Callithrix jacchus: one gene and its partners. The protein of the gene in region 3 interacts with the protein of the main gene of each other region in a biochemical or structural test. Links are inferred from orthologs where the notes say so. Each region holds a gene or a part of one and is shown on either strand. Other genes may lie near its edges.

Region 1 (3,995 bases), on a different chromosome or scaffold from region 3:
CCACTATACCATTATCTAATAACAACTCACTTTTTAAAATTATGAATTCCTATATGAGACACCAATCTGTCATCATTCACTTAATCACATACATACAAATGTCAAACTCATGAACACAAAAGGCATTTCCTGCACTGGGGTTGTTGGAAACACATGCCATCTGAATTTCTGAAAGACACCAACATCTTTCCAAATACAAGTAATGGTGTCTATGAAGTAGTCATAGGTTTGGCTAATTCTCAAAGCTTTCTCCCATTTCAGAACTCCCATAAAGTTCATTTTATGTATAACTATCTCTTTTTCCACACAGAATTTGATATGGATTACAACAAATATATATGATAAGCTGACAAAATTTTTAATGATAATAAAACTGTGTCCCCAGCTTAACCCAATTCATATGTTGAAGTCCTATCACCCACCACTTCAGGATGTGACTGTATTTGAAGATAAGGCCTTTAAAGAGGTAATTAAGATAAAATGAGGTCATATGGGCATGCCCTAATCCAGTATGACTAGTGTTCCTATAAGAGGAGATTAGGACACAGACAAGTACAGAGGGAAGAACATGGAGACATAGCCATCTACGAGTCAAGCAAAGGCCTCAAAAGAAACAACTCTGACAATGCCTTGATTTCAGATCTCTAACCTTCAGAAAGGTGTGCAAATAAATTTCTGTTGCTTAAACCACCCAGTCCATGATACTTTGTCATGTCCTAAAAACTGATAGAAATGATAATAAAATTGATCTGCTTCAAATTAGGCAGTCTACTAGTTATAATGAGCAGGGAATCACCAGTCACTTAAGAACTCAGTCCTGTAATGCTCTTCTCTTGCACTTTTAATACATTTTTTTTAAATCCAAAAGGTACAGGAATGAGCATGCCAAGAAAGTTTAGTCCTTTGCCCAAGATTATGTAACACAAGTCAAAGGGGGAAACAAAACTCAGATTCCTAATCCCCTTTTCAATTAAAACAAGGCCTCAGAGAAAGAAACCAAGGAGAAAGAACAAACATAGTTCAGAAAGAAACATAACCAGTGTGCATTTGTAACTGGATCACTGTGGTACTATAGCAAATATTTGCTAACATACACAGAGACCTGTGAAACAGGGGTACTTTCAGAGAGGGATCAGAGTGAGGCAGTTAAAAGCATGGACTTTGGACCAGACCCCACAGATATTAAAATCCTAGCTCTGCCTCTTACTCGCTATGACTTCTCTAAGCAAATCACTACCCTGTCTGTATCTCAGTTTTATCATCTGTAAAACAGACATATAGGAATATCTACCGCACAGGATTGTTGTGAGGTTCAAATGAGTCAATAAATTGAACCATATGAAGTTACCATTTTATGGTTCAAAAATGGTCAAATATCAGCAATTTCATATGCTTCAGTAGGAGACATGGAAAGCACTTAGAAGAGTGCCTGGCACCTGGTAAGTGCAATATGAGTGTAATTAACCATTACTACTACAGTCTCAGCACACTAAGCTAGGGTGAATCCGAAGCCCATCCCAACCACCTATTTGCCTTCTGCAATGTTTGTGCACTTCAAACACCCCTAAGCTCGAACAACCCCCAAGAGTGCTGTCCAGATAGTCAATCCCTTCTCTTCACCTCTCGGTTGTCCTGCACTTCCACACCCTAAACACTTCCTTCTTTACAGTTCATTCTGCTGCAGGAAGTCAGACGTCTCTATGAAACAGAAGTAACCACACTGCACCTCAGAGAAGCATGACTCCTTCTGTCTCTACTCCCTACTTTTCTTCAGATGTGGCAGAGTGGTAAACGACCCGAAATGTCCAGAGGGGAAATCCAGGAGTTCAGATTTTCTAGGATCAGCCACCATCCTGATCTTGACCTAAAGCAATTCCAGGTACCACTAGGATCTGGCGCTGATATACACAAAACAACTGAGGTCTGAAAAGGGCACAGTCTGGCCGGGTTCAGTGACCCGGAATAAAGAAGGAAACACGTTTCCCAACTCTTCTGGACCTCGGTCTGCCCATCTCGAAAATATCCTCTTATTTCCTCACCTACCTCCCAATGTCAGGTTCTGAAGGGCTGAGGAGAACGTGAAGACCATCAGAAAGACACTCTGAACATCAGTAATAAAAGATGCCATCCTACAGTGGAGTCACCACCAACAGCATCCTCTCAAATGCTGCCCTCCACCCTCCCCTCCCTTGCTAGACCCTCAAACTCTCTTCGCATGCCTTCAGGCTTAGGCGCAAAGCTGTTCCTCTCCACAGATCCCCAAAACTGCACCCCTCAAGTGGGACTTGGGACCCTTAGAAAGTCCACCCGGCCTTCCTCTCGGCCAGTTCTCGATCTGCCCCCTTAAAAAGACCCCTCACAGGTTCTCACCCTGCTTCGGTATTCTCCCCGTTACCTCCGTGGACAGCCTTCCCCAGAGTGGCCCGGCCTCAGCAGGTACTCTCCCTAACTTGTCCCCACGTTCCTCAGCAGAGTCTCCCCGCAGCGAGTGTTCCCTCTCACCGGTCCCAAGTCTATCCCCTTAGCAGATGCTCCCCTCGCCCGGACCCTCACCCACCAGACGTCCCCCCCACTCAGCAGGTGCCCCATCAGCTGGGTCGCTTCGCTCCGGGGACTCCCACACAGGTGTCTCCCCGCAACCAGTTCCCGCCTTTTCTTCCCCCGCCCCCTTGCCTGTCCTCTTAGCTAGTGGCCCCTCACCGGCGCGGCGGATTCCTCAGCTGTACCGTCTCCATGGCGCTGCCGGCAGCCGCCCAGACCCGCTCACTGCTCCATCCTCCCCGCGGACCTCCCTATGCCCGCCCTGCAGACCCACCCACACTTCCGCTTTCCGCCCCTACCGGAAGCGGAGCGCGCCGCGGGAGCGGGGCGGAGCCACGGCCCTGATCACGTGGTTCGGGGCGCGAGTCAAGTGGCGCGGTCGGGCGCGGACCCGGAACCGCCTAGTGGTAAAGGCGCCTCCCGGCGTTGTCCGGTGGTATCTAGGGTGTCGGCGACGCTGTCTTCCTGCGATACTGGAGCGCACGAAATAGTCGGTACACGATGCACTTCTACCTGGGTCCTGGGCCCCAATTCACCGACAAAGATACATGAAGCGCGTCCATGAGAAGAGCTGACGATTCTTAGCAAACCAAGTTCTGTATGATTTTGGTGAGGCGGTGCTGCCCCAGAACCCCTGGAGGCATTTGTGGTTTCCTGCCGCTTACTTGGTTGAACTCTGGTCCCAACGGGCCCCCTGCACATTCTCTCCTCGGATTTGTTACAGAGCATCAACGTGCAAATTGCCCCACTGTTTTTCTTAAAGGCCTCCCCTTTACGTCAGTTTGCAGACATAAAAATAAGCAACATTAATTAAGCATTTGCCATGTATTTGCCTTTATATATTATCTCATTTAATCCCCCATGTCAAGCCTATAAGGTCATCCCCATTTTTATTTATTTAATGATTTAACACAGTGCCTACACGTTTTCAGTGCCTTACCTCATTTAATACTCCTAACAACCTAGAGGTATTATTATTATTCCTATTTCATAAGGCCAGAGAGGTGAAGTATCTAGCCCAAGGTCACATAGCTTAGAGTATAGGTTTGGGGATTTAAACCCAGGTTGGTCTGATTTCAGGGCCTGCACTACCAAACTGGACATCCACAGATGTTTAACCTCTTCTGGGGCCTGAGAGACAGACCTTTCTCTCCACTGTGAGTTCTCGCTTCAGCTATTGCGCTTCTGAATGCCACTACCATCAATGAATATTAGGAAAATGGCAGATTCTACCCAGTTGACCCCTGGGGAAAGTTACAGGAGAAAACTTAACCAGAGCAACCTCTCACTGTTTTTAATTGCCTTGCCTTTCCCAGGGATATTCCATCTACAGAACTTAACACCTGAGCACCCACCCTTCAGGGCCACCCAGGGATGGCATCCCATGTGCCCAAAACAGGATAAAATAAGCAACATTAATTAATCATTTGCCATGTATTTGCCTTCAAGTATTC
Region 2 (3,966 bases), on a different chromosome or scaffold from region 3:
TCTCGGGTGCGTGCCCGAGCTGCCTCACTGAGGGGCTCGCTGTCCCCTGGAAAGGCAGGGCCCAGGTAAGAGCCCAGCTCAGGGCAATGGGGCAAAGTACTAACTTATTCTGGAGTCTGCTATGTGCCCAGTGCGATCGATCAGCTGTCTTGCCAATTTCTCACGACAAAGTCAAGAGTCTTTATCCCCACTGCACAGCAGAGGAAACCAGCTCAAAGAGGGGAGCCACTTTCCCAGCATGTCCAGGTGAGGGTGGCAGAACTCAAGTGGGAGAAGCCTGTCAACCTGAAAGACCTGAGGCTTTGATGCTATGCCATGTGCAACCCGCACAAAGTACTCCAGAGAGGTTCTACCAGCATCAACAACTCCTCCAACCCATCTCTCTAGCATTCAATCCAGGAATCAAAGCTGGAGCCTCCATTTATAGCCTAACTTATCCTCCCAAACACATGGCTTATTTATGCCTTGGGAAATTCTGGCCACCCTTGGACTCAGGCCTTAGGGGAATTGGGAAGGAATGCCATTAAGATGCAGGTGGAGATGGACACCTCTTGAGTATGGGTATAAAGAACCAACCTCGGCTGTACACTCGCTGACAGAGTTCCTCCACCCGGCGCTGTAGGCGGTCTGAGGCCTCTACCACACGGGACACAGCTGCCTTGGAGAACTCCATTCGGCCTTGCAGCTCCAGCTCCACCTCCTCACTGCTGCTGGCACCCAGTGCCACCACAAAAGCCAAGGCCGGCTCACTGAGAGGGGGCCGCAGCTGCATTGGCAAGGGCTCTGGGAGGAATGGACAGACCCTCATGAGGATAAGCAGTAGTTATCACCACTCTGTACCAAGTTTCAGACTGAGCCCTTCCATACTCATGACTCACTTAATCAACACAACTATTATCTCCATCTTAAAAGTGAGACAAATGAGGTTCAGAGACATAAATAATTTCCTCAAAATTACCAGGACCAGGAAGGGCCTCGGAGGTGGATGTCTGTCCTTCGTCCTGAGGCACAATTACCACCAAAGCTACAGAATTGCATATCATGTTCTCAGGGAAGCCTCCTGTATCATGTACTTATGGAAGCCTCCTGAGGGACAGTTACCACCAAAGCTACAGAGCTGTGTAACATGTCCTCAGGGAAGCCTCCTGTACTTTCCCATTGTAAATTACGAACTCACAAACACACACATGCATGCACACAGTTACTCCCTTTTGGGAGCCCCAGTACTTTTTGCTTACTATGTTTATGATAATTCCTCCCTCATAGCAATTGCAATACTCATTTCTAAAGCAGCGTCAAATACATAGTCAATGCTCAACAGTAATACTGTTTTGAAACAAATGGGTGTCAAAACATAAATTGCTCTACAAACCAAGTTAGACTCCAAAGGCTGTGTTTTTGTGCACTGCACTTTACTGCCCAAATATGAAATCCATTTCGTGGGGAGTAGTAAGGCAACAAATTCAGGCGCTCAACACCAAAGTCCCCTCCTCCCCAGGGCTTTTCCCAGAACTTAAGCTCCCCAGAACCCAGGACTCTGGTCCTACCCCTCAACTCTGATGTTCCTGGCTCTGGAAGAGGAGTCCCATCACATGTTAGCCCCTCCTGGGTCCCAGGTGCCTCAGGCACTGAAGACAGCTCCCCCTGGCTCTCATGGCATCGGAGAAGGGCTTCCACAGTTTCATCCAGCTGAAAGGAGAAAGAATCAAAAAGGTTATGAATACCTCAGTGCTTTCCCGCATGATACTGCTTTCCCAGCAGGGGAATCTGAAGATTGGCAGCTAAATCAAGGCCTGGTCTTGGAAAGCAGAAGGCATCCACCTGGGCCCAGTAGCGATTGACAATGAAGAGTGTGGCATCATCTGTGGCCTGCCGCTTCTCCAGCTTCTCAATTCGTTCTCGGAGTTCATCTTCACAAGCCTGTCGCTGTTCCAACCGCTCTGCCAGTTTCTTGTTCTTGAACTGTAGTACCTTCAGGTCCATCTCCTCCTACCAAGGGAAACAAAGGGGTCAAGTAGGAGAGAGAGGGTCAAGCAGGGCCAAGAAACCAATCACAGAGACAGAGGAGCAAAGCATCTGGAATGCATGGGAGATGGGGGTTTTCCCAGACTAACCGCTAACAGAATCTAAGGAGGTTCAGACAACCCACAGCGAAAGTGTCTTGGTTGTGAGGAGGCTCTCGTTGTTTTCTGCCTGGCCCCTTCTAACTCCTTAGTCTTTGACAAATCACACGCCCTCTGGGAACCTGTTTTCCTATCTGTAAAGGGAAGACAGGCGTCGTGTTCTCAGATTCTTTCAACAGAGTATCTTGTATATCTCGTAACGCGTACCTTGCTAAACGAGGGGAAGTGGGTTTAAGACTCTGGACAGTTTAGGCAGAGAATAGGAGGACTCTGACAAGTTCTGAGTGTTAAGGCAAGAGCCCACGAACCGTGGAAGAGATGCCTCCCAGACGAATGGGCTCGATAAGAGTGGTGGTGGTCTTCTCCTCACGACTCAACTTCTTCTCCGGAGGCCCTGAGCCCCCGTCGCCGGCGGCGCGTTTGTTGCCTGGCCCAGACATGGCCGCAGCGGCAGGAGCGGCGCAGGGTCCTCTGAGGGGCGTCAGGCGGGAGAAGGCAGTACTTCCGTCACCTGCAGAAGACAGGGAGCAGAGATGTGGGAACTGCTGGTGCTCTACAACCCTAAATAACCTCCACTACGCGAACACCTGCTGGATCCCGCCCCCGCCGGCGCCAGAGCCCTCACCGGCAACAGGGTCAGTCTAGCGTAGCCATCTTGGATTTCACCGGACGTCACTGGCCTCCCCGCCCCCCGGTGCGCAGAACGCCGGCGCCAGAGGCAGCACCGGATGTGAGGAAACGTCTTTATCTTCTGAATCTATTGGTTACACTTGGTCCCACCTCTCGGGTGCTTTGGCTTCTTCCCAAACACCTCCTCTTTCTCTCGGTGATTGGCCGAGAGGCAGTTCCCATGGTAACTGACACCGCGCTCCCACTTCCCAGCTTGGAGAAGACTTCCGGCAACTAGGACGAGAGGGCGCCCAGGTGGGCGCTCGCAACTTCTTACGTATCTGCGCGTTCGCTACTGGCGTGAGCCTGCATTTTCCGCCCTCCTTCCCTCGCAAGCACCCTTGGCAACCGTCGCCGTTGAGACAGAGGGAGACGCCCCAACGGATTGGCCCCGCCGCGCCTCTCCGCCAGCAGACTGGCCAGACCGAGGCGAGCGCCCGGCCTTGGCAGCCGCAGACCGAGAACTGGCTGTCCCGGAACCGAGGGGCGGGAGCTCGGGGCGTCCTGCAGCACAGTAAGAGCGGCGAGATGCTCAACCGCAAAGCCAGCCACTTCCTGGGAATGAGGGTGCAGTCGGAGCTTGAACACCTCTCCGAGCTGCGGCGGGAAGCCGGGAAGGATCGCAGATCAGTGCGTGGTTCAGCCGCGCGGACGCGAGCAAATATACGGAACCAGTCGACAGCGGCGGCGGCGGCGGCGGTGGCGGCAAAAGCGGATGAAGACCGTGGAGCCAACTTGTTCCCGGTGAGGGCAGGACAGTCTGGTCCGCTCGTGAATATTTATAAACAGGTTCCCCCGCAGGCCCCACACGTCATTATGTTTACTAACGTTCGGGACGTCTCCCGGGCTGCCTGGACGAGGAGAGGCAGGGGTGTGTGACCCTCGTGGTTACTGTGCTCGCGAAGAGCACTTGGGGCCTGCTGAAGCCCGCCCTTGCCCGCGCCTCTCCTTCTAAGTCCTTGAGATAGCAAGTTACATACAGCGCGTTCTTGTGCCCGCTGGAGATTTGCCATGGGCCAGGACACCGTAGCTCTGCCTCCCCAATTCGCTTTCTTTCCGCAGCCGCCGCTGCCCCGGCCCCAGATCTGCATGTGGTGAGTGTGAAGAGACTTGAAGAAAAGTTACACTGAACACTTGCGTTCTTCCTTCATTGTCTCCCCAACAGTCCTGTCTT
Region 3 (4,122 bases):
CTGGTGAGAATTAAATGTGTCAATATGTATAAAGGACCTAGAACACTGCCTGATACATAGTAAGTGCTCCATAGGTGTTAGCTTAACTTTATTATGAACTTTATTTCTTCAATCTTATTTGTACTGCTTTCTATTTGTGATCATATATTTTTCAATTACTCAGCATTAACAGTGACCTTTTTTTAAAAAAATTTTTTAATAGAGACAGGTTTTCATCATGTTAGGCTGGTCTCGAACTCCTGACCTTGTGATACGCCTGCCTTGGCCTCCCAAAGTCCTGGGTTATAGACATGAGCCACCGCACCCAGCCAACAGTGACCTTCTAACAGACTATTTAAGCCCCAATGCACCTTTGGGGCAGCAGTTTGGCTGGTGGCTTATAAACAAGTCATCCCCCAGCTCAGAGGCTCCCAAGCTTTTCTACAGAACCAGTGGAAGTTGTATCTGTTAATCTCATTCATTGAGAAAATATACTGTAGATAAAATAATTCAGCAAAGACTTTAAATTAACTGGCAACTTTATTAATAATAACATCTACACACATTTGAAAACACACATGTAGGAGACAATTAAGATTTATTCAGTCTGTGATAATATCTAGAGCTCATTTGGATTCATCAAACCCCTGCAATCAACTCCCAAAGCCCTTAGCTAAAAGTAGAGTTGAATCACTCATCAAACCATCAGTGTGTTCCTCGGCAGAATCAAGGGTTTGACAGAAAGAGTAAATATTCTGCACTTCCACAAAATAAAACTAAAATGCAATTGTCCTGCATCTGAGAATACAAAGGTGGGCAGTATGAACTGCATGACCATGGACCAATCAGGCTTCTCTTGGCCTCATTTGTTTAAAAAAAAAAAGAGAGAGAGATTAACTTTGTAGTCCTGCCCATCTTGAATGGCCGCCTGAAAACCAAACCAGGTGGTGAGTGCAAATTAAAAGCTCCTCTCCTTTAAGAAGGGAACACCAAGACAGGAGTAGAAAAGAAGGAAAAAGGCTCTTTCCCATGACCAATACGCTGAATTTGATGAAAATCCAAAGGAGGTTAGGCTAAACCGGGAAGCACAAAGGTGGAACTACCATTGCCACCTCCTCTTTGATGCAAAAGAATCTTAACACGGCCCCCTCCCAGCTGTTGCACTGAAGTGACTAAGGATACATTTGAGGGAATAACTTCAAAAACATTTCCATTTTCACCGCGCCTTCACGTACATCTAATGGAAATGAACAGCACCCATCATCCATCCACAGAAGCGATTAAAAAACAAGTGGGATGGAAAAATTAACCCAACAATATTACTTCAATCCGTAGTATTGAAGTAAGTGTCCATAATGTGCCAGACTGACTGGCTGAAGAGGCACGGGAAAACCAGACCATCCGGTCTGTCAAGGGCTTGAGAATGCCATGAAGAAAACAGACGAGCCAATTTCAGACAGCTGCTACGAGGAAGATAAAACGAGACCGGGAACTATGAGAGGCGCGAATTCCTGAGTGGATGACGTAGAAGGTCTCTGAGAGGTGACTTTTGAGCTCATATCTACATGGTGTCTTGCAGTGACCCGGGGCCGTAGCGTTACCATTTTAAAGCAGACACCATTAAAAGCAAAAATTATCCACAAACCGAGAAGTAGGAATCTCAAAGTGAACCACGGAAACTGAAATCTACAAATTAGAAAGCGGCGCAGAATTTCGAATAGTCATGTCGCCCAATCAGGAAAAGGCTGGGACCCGGCTGCGCGGGCTTCGTCCAAAGTACACAGAACGGCTGGCATCCACAGGAGGCCCCATCCCAGGGCAAAACTGGTGACCGGACACAAAAGCTGCTGCGAAGCGTCAGTCATACAGCGCTGTCACGCAGTTTGCGGCACCCGGACTGAATTGTGTCCCAGAGTTCTCTTAAGTAACAGCCGGACTCAGCCACTTGGTTTTGAAATGATGAAACAGACCCAACGAAGCCACCAGGGCGCCAGTGTAAGGCGGGGGTGGGGGCGGGCAGAGTCGGATTCCCAACACCCTAAATGAGAACGGACTCCTGGGAAAGCTAAGCAGCACAATGAATAACGACACGCTCTAGATTCAAAAGCAAATCCAATCATGCACTGGGGACCTCGAGTTCCAAATGATTAAGCTACGTGTGCTATTTCCCATGACTTATGCTAAAACAACTTACTTTGTGAGAAAAAACTAAGGGAGTAAGTGAACAAGCTCTTTTCTAGTGATTAGGTGGGTGGCTCTGAAAAGAGCCTTTGGACTCAAGCAGCCGGCGACTCGAGCGAGCGAGCGAGCGCCAGGTCCCGGCAGGGACTCACTTGGAGCTGGTGTACTTGGTGACCGCCTTGGTGCCCTCGGACACGGCGTGCTTGGCCAGCTCGCCGGGCAGCAGCAGGCGCACGGCCGTCTGGATCTCGCGGGACGTGATGGTGGAGCGCTTGTTGTAGTGAGCCAGGCGGGACGCCTCCCCCGCAATGCGCTCGAAGATGTCGTTGACGAAGGAGTTCATGATACCCATGGCCTTGGACGAGATGCCGGTGTCGGGGTGGACCTGTTTCAGCACCTTGTACACGTAGATGGAGTAGCTCTCCTTGCGGCTGCGCTTGCGCTTCTTGCCGTCCTTCTTCTGGGCTTTAGTGACGGCTTTCTTAGAGCCCTTCTTAGGAGCAGGAGCGGATTTTGCCGGTTCAGGCATGGTAAGACACAGTACCAACGCGACTTAGCCAAGAAAAGAAGTAAGAGAATGGGCGGACCTGATCCTTTTATAACCATCTTATGCAAATTAAGGCTCCGAAACTAATTCACTTCCATTGGTCCGTGTGTGGACCTTGCGTTTTCAGCAACGTCTACGTAGCGATACCGACTCTTGACTTGATTGGCCGGCTCTGAAGCCAAATTAGGACCAATGAAAAACTCGTCCTTGACCCCACCCCTAAGAAAGCTTATAAAGGCTTTCTTCTTGGTGATCTTTCAATCTTATTTTGTTGCGTGGTTCTGAGCTTTGTCTGCGTTTAGCCTTGGTTTTAATCATGTCTGGCCGTGGCAAGCAAGGAGGCAAGGCCCGCGCCAAGGCCAAGTCGCGCTCGTCCCGCGCTGGCCTGCAGTTCCCGGTAGGGCGAGTGCACCGCCTGCTGCGCAAAGGCAACTACGCGGAGCGGGTGGGGGCCGGCGCGCCCGTCTACATGGCGGCGGTCCTGGAGTACCTGACCGCCGAGATCCTGGAGCTGGCGGGTAACGCGGCTCGGGACAACAAGAAGACGCGCATCATCCCCCGTCACCTCCAGCTGGCCATCCGCAACGACGAGGAGCTGAACAAGCTGCTGGGCAAAGTCACCATCGCCCAGGGCGGCGTGTTGCCCAACATCCAGGCCGTTCTGTTACCAAAGAAAACCGAAAGCCACAAAGCCAAAAGCAAATAAATGCAGACAAACCAAAGACCAAAGGCTCTTTTTAGAGCCACCCAAGTTTTCAAAAAAAGAGCTAATGCGCTGTTTCGTTACCAGCCCTTCATTTGACACTTTGGTGGCTCTTAAAAGAGCCTTTGGGGTGAATGGGTATGGTGTCAAGCCTATTTATTACTTGCTCTTGCCAGGCTTGTGACTCTCCGTTTTCTTGGGCAACAGGACAGCCTGGATATTGGGCAAGACGCCGCCCTGGGCAATGGTGACACCCCCCAGTAACTTGTTGAGCTCTTCGTCATTCCTCACAGCTAGCTGCAGATGGCGAGGGATGATGCGCGTCTTCTTGTTGTCCCGAGCCGCGTTGCCCGCCAGCTCCAGAATTTCCGCGGTCAGGTACTCGAGGACCGCTGCCAGGTACACTGGGGCGCCGGCCCCCACCCGCTCCGCGTAGTTGCCTTTGCGCAGCAAGCGGTGCACTCGCCCCACCGGGAACTGGAGGCCAGCGCGGGACGAGCGCGACTTGGCCTTGGCGCGGGCCTTGCCCCCCTGCTTTCCGCGTCCCGACATTACGGCTAAAATTGCAGTCACAGCTTCTTTTTCAAGGAGAAGAATGTGGAAGGGATAACCAATTTGATGTAATTTATAAGAGCCACCGGGAGGGGTGAAGGGAAGTCGTTTGATTGGCTGAAAGCGGAGCCGTATCCAACAGCCAATAGGAAAGCAGAAA
Region 4 (4,095 bases), on a different chromosome or scaffold from region 3:
TGAAGGTAAGAGGATAGGACACATCCAGAACAGAGATCAAAGAGGCTCAGTTTCGCCATGCTGGGCAGCACAAGGAGACAGGTCGGAGCTGATGTCATCCTGTGCTGTGTGGCCAGGCAGGACACCTTGTCACCCTGAGTCCCCTCACTGCCCTCAGTATCAAAATGGGCTCAGACTCCACCCCACCTTGCCTTTTTTTGTTCCCACCTGGTGGCAGGGGGCACTAGAGGATTAATCCAGGGCACAGGATTAGTCAGTAAGGCTTTTTGAACAGGGGAGTTATGGCCCAGATTGTAAAAGGTGTGGCCAAACAGAAGAACACGGTACAGAAAAGACAAGAATAGGAGTGGAAAAGGGTTTCACTTCAAGCATAAGCTCTGCTTTCTTGGAGAACTGTGCAGGGAAGGAGTCTGAGGCTGTGTCCAGGCCCCCATGGGAAATAATTAGTAATGTCTACCGGGGCGTGGGGTGAGGGGGGCAGCGTTAGCTCAGGCCATGTACCTGCCATCCCCAGACTAGTACTAGCAAGTTGCTTCTGGGCCATGGGCAAGTCTGCCAGGTAGACGCCCAGATCCCAGAAGGCCCATGGAGGGAGAGGAGGGACCAATCCAGGAAGCCTTCCTGGAAAAAAGGGGACAACAGGGAGGAAGTGAACTTGGTGCCAAATCCTGATAGGCCAGAAGGAGCCTTACTTGGGGAAGTGAGTGAGGATGAGGGTCCTCTTCTCCGGCACCAATTTGTCCTTCTCCACTCGGAACTTTTCCAGCAGCTGCCGGCGGGTGACAGTGAAAATGGATCGGAGAAGGCTTCGCCCAAAGACATGAGTGGTTTCATAGCGAGGCAGGCTGTCGCAGCTCTGGGGCACGTGGCAGTAACAGAGCCATCTAAAGTAGGGGGCAGAGGGGAAACAGGTGAGGGTGGAAACCACGGAACCCAGGCTGAGCCTGCAAGCCTGCCCTGACGCTGCCCCCAGCTGAGCCTACCTGGTGTAATTGACCTTATAGGTAGCCACGTCCTCAGCCTGAGACCTCTGCCGAAACTGGGCAGGTGTCTCAAGCTTCCAGTAGTTAAGGCAGAGCAAGAACATCTTTGAGAGCTCGAACATCGTCTGCCGCTCCCGGGGAGCCAGGTGACTAAACTTGTACTGCACAAAGTTCAGCACACCCTGAGAAGGGGTGGGTGGGGACAAAACCAGGAATGAGGTGTGAGCAGCCCGCAGGGCCTTCTTAGACAAAAGAAGATGCTTCCCGAGGCCAGGGACAAGGATCGCTCCTCTCTCTCAGGTGCTCTCTATAAAGAAGCTCTGCCCCCTCCCTACCACACCGAGGTTAGCACAAAACACCCTCCCTTCTCTGAACCTCCCCTATGTTCTCAGCTTGAGGATGGAGAACACAGGCTTCCCACTCCTCCAAGCTGTCCCCAATTCTCCTACCCACTATCTCCAATTCCCCAATCCCACCTGCTCAATATTAGGTTTTTCAAATGGGGGGCTGCCCAGGGACCCCTCCACCACGGGCCGAGTCATCTGCAGGATGCATTTCCGCAGGAGCTGCAGAGAAGAGGAAGGGGAGGCGGAGGGAGCGGGGCAGAGCTACAGACAACCCCTCAAGGCCCCACCTCCTCCACCCACTCACACCCTCCTTAGGTGGAAGCTCACCTTGAAGAGGTAGAAATAGACCTGCTTGGTGTCTGTGTCCTCCTCCTTGTGAACAGACATGAAGAGATTCTCCACGTCTACCACCATCCCCAGCAGTCGGTTTATCTCATCCTCTGACACATTCTCCAAGTGGGATACGTGGTCAGCTGCAAGACAGGTGGCAGAGTTGGGAAAAACTGATAGAAGAGAGCAACAAGGCTTCTTGCCCCTCTTCACAGCCAACCAAGATACACACTCCGTCCCACCAACCAGTGTGACCAACAGTGAGACTAATTGCTCCAAAGCAACCGTTGAGTTGCCTGGACCTGTTCTGGGCTGAGATTTCCTTTCCCCTTTCTTGATGCATGCACACCCCCAACCCAATCCCTCCTTAGGAAGCATCTTTGATTTTTTTTCAGAGATGAGGCTTTGTGGGACTTGTCACCCTGTCCAAGCAGGACCCTGCACCTGCCCCCAGCTCCAAAGGCGCTGCCTGCCTTACCCAAGGGGTGCTCACAACTGCGGCACAGCTCACTCAGGTTGGCAGCTGGCTGCTGCAGATCCATGCGGGGTGCAGTGGGGGGCTTGGGGTTTTTCCAGCCATTACACTTACAGGTTTCATTGGCCTGGAGGCGGAAGGATCAGTCTGTGACCTATATCTCTGGGGCAAGAGCCATTCCGCAGCCAGAGCTTTGACCCCATTCCCACCCGAGCCCAGGGATGCCCCAAGCCCCGCCCCTTCACCCCAGGCCCCGCCCCCACCTTGCAAGCCGAGAAGACCCCTAGCTTCTCTAGCTTCTTGGCGCGCGGCAGCCCCCGGACTTGCGCCTTCCTCTGGCTAGCGCGCTGCTGCTGGCTCAGGCCAGGTCGAGCCGGATCCCCCCCGCTCCCGGCCCCCCCACTTCCTACCCCGGGCCCCCCAGTCCCTGTGCTCCCGGCTGGGGCTGCAGCTGGGGCAGGGGCTGGTGCCGGAGTGGGAATCGGAGTCGGGGCTGAAGCCGGGCTGGGTGCAGGAGTCGGAGTTGGGGCAGGGGCTGGGGACTGAAGGGGCCGGGGCTGCGCAGCCGGGGCCGGGGTCGGGGCCTGGGAAGGTTCCGCCATGGCCTCCCCCGCAACGGAGAGCGGCGCCGCGCTCCCAGCCCTAGGGCCGCGTGGGCAACCGGCGCTCAGTACGCAGGCGTCGTTGCGCAGCGCACGACGGGAGCTGTAGTCTTCCCGCTCTGTTCCCCCACTGCCTTTAGCTTCCAGACTTTTCTGTCCTGTCTCTTGGTCCCTGACAGCCAAGTGAGGCCTGAGCGAAAGCCCCACATTGACCCCTCTTCACTTCTAATCTCTTTTAAAGGTGTCCGAGCGAGTCACGATGGCTGCTTTCTTGGGGACAAGGAGTATTGGGAGAATCATGAGGTCTGCCTCTTCCCCGAGTCTCTCTACGGCTTAACCGTCTCCCCAACTCCTGCACAGGCCCGGCCCCACGCGGCTCCGGACACGGAATTGCAGCTGCGGTAGAGATGAGATGGAGCAACAGTTCTGCTGCAGTGTGGTGGTGACTTCGGTATGTTCTCTTTCTGACATTCACCTGCATCCTTTTGTGTGCTTTTCTGTATGTATGTATTTAATAGTATCACTAACAAAGGGAGTTTATCAGGCCAGGTGGCTGGCTCACGCAGGAGGATCGCTTGAGCCCAGGAATTCGAGACCAGGCTGGACAACATAGGGAGACCCCCCATCTCTACAAAAAATAAAAAAATAAATTTTATAGGCTGGGTGAGGTGGCTCACGCCTGTAATCCCAGCACTTTGGGAGGCCTAGATGGGAGGATCGCTTGAGCCTAGTAGTTCGAGATTAACCTGGGTAACATAGACCCCTGTCTCTTAAAAAATAAAGTTTATCAAATAACAGCACCAGAGCCATAGCTGTGGTCACGATGGTCACCAAGGCTACTGAGGTGGAGGGTCAGGCAGAGGAGAGCTAGGTCTTTCTCTGTGCACTGGGAGCTGCTGTCCTGAAGCCCCAACTGTGCCTTCATCTTTGTGGCCCCAGAGCCCAGAACCCAGCTTGCCTCACAGGAAGCCCTAGGAGCTCATTTATTAAGGCAGCTGGAGAGACCAGTCTGCCTCCTCGTCTCCACGTGTCGCATGGAGTTGCCGGTGGTCAGGGAGAGGCAGGGTGGATGACCCAGGAAGGCCACCCTCCCCTGGCTGTATCTGGGAACAATCCTAGCCCCAGGTCTGGTCCTTAGAAGGCAAGACAGCCCCCTTCCCACTAGCCAGCGTATCAGTCTGCTGCTGGCAGCGGCGGGGTCCGGCTCCCTCAGATCTGGCCTGGTTGTGGATCCAGACCCACAACCCCAGACCCATTGACGAGGTGGGGAAAGGCGGAGAAAGGGTCAGGGTCTGGGATGAGAGCAGCTGCCTGGCGCTGACAGTCTTGCTCTTGGTGGTAAGATGGGCGTGGCTGAC

What was found. The genes of interacting proteins can lie anywhere in the genome.
Region 1: of the proteins of H2BC21 (region 3) and STK4, one has a biochemical effect on the other in vitro, tested with the Homo sapiens proteins (2 studies listed by BioGRID). The link is inferred for Callithrix jacchus from reciprocal best matches to the Homo sapiens genes H2BC21 and STK4.
Region 2: of the proteins of H2BC21 (region 3) and RNF40, one has a biochemical effect on the other in vitro, tested with the Homo sapiens proteins (2 studies listed by BioGRID). The link is inferred for Callithrix jacchus from reciprocal best matches to the Homo sapiens genes H2BC21 and RNF40.
Region 4: of the proteins of H2BC21 (region 3) and KAT2A, one has a biochemical effect on the other in vitro, tested with the Homo sapiens proteins (2 studies listed by BioGRID). The link is inferred for Callithrix jacchus from reciprocal best matches to the Homo sapiens genes H2BC21 and KAT2A.

The regions. Positions count from the first base shown.
Region 1 is NC_133506.1:40,327,473-40,331,467, reverse strand, and holds the start of STK4 (serine/threonine-protein kinase 4), read right to left. Parts: upstream 2,801-3,995; 5' UTR 2,736-2,800; coding exon 2,701-2,735; intron 1-2,700. UniProt on the Homo sapiens protein: Stress-activated, pro-apoptotic kinase which, following caspase-cleavage, enters the nucleus and induces chromatin condensation followed by internucleosomal DNA fragmentation.
Region 2 is NC_133513.1:30,299,989-30,303,954, reverse strand, and holds the start of RNF40 (E3 ubiquitin-protein ligase BRE1B), read right to left. Parts: upstream 2,801-3,966; 5' UTR 2,749-2,800; intron 2,635-2,748; 5' UTR 2,564-2,634; coding exon 2,432-2,563; intron 2,258-2,431; exon of another isoform or gene 2,115-2,257; intron 1,990-2,114; coding exon 1,822-1,989; intron 1,690-1,821; coding exon 1,548-1,689; intron 784-1,547; coding exon 577-783; intron 47-576; coding exon 1-46. Other genes in the region: CFAP119 (cilia- and flagella-associated protein 119), read left to right, coding at 3,321-3,536, 3,855-3,886.
Region 3 is NC_133519.1:9,820,310-9,824,431, forward strand, and holds H2BC21 (histone H2B type 2-E), read right to left. Parts: upstream 2,732-4,122; 5' UTR 2,690-2,731; coding exon 2,309-2,689; 3' UTR 501-2,308; downstream 1-500. Other genes in the region: H2AC20 (histone H2A type 2-C), read left to right, coding at 3,024-3,413; H2AC21 (histone H2A type 2-B), read right to left, coding at 3,570-3,962. UniProt on the Homo sapiens protein: Core component of nucleosome. Nucleosomes wrap and compact DNA into chromatin, limiting DNA accessibility to the cellular machineries which require DNA as a template.
Region 4 is NC_133506.1:91,110,911-91,115,005, reverse strand, and holds the start of KAT2A (histone acetyltransferase KAT2A), read right to left. Parts: upstream 2,801-4,095; 5' UTR 2,738-2,800; coding exon 2,399-2,737; intron 2,263-2,398; coding exon 2,139-2,262; intron 1,804-2,138; coding exon 1,658-1,803; intron 1,550-1,657; coding exon 1,460-1,549; intron 1,166-1,459; coding exon 984-1,165; intron 885-983; coding exon 693-884; intron 1-692. UniProt on the Homo sapiens protein: Protein lysine acyltransferase that can act as a acetyltransferase, glutaryltransferase, succinyltransferase or malonyltransferase, depending on the context.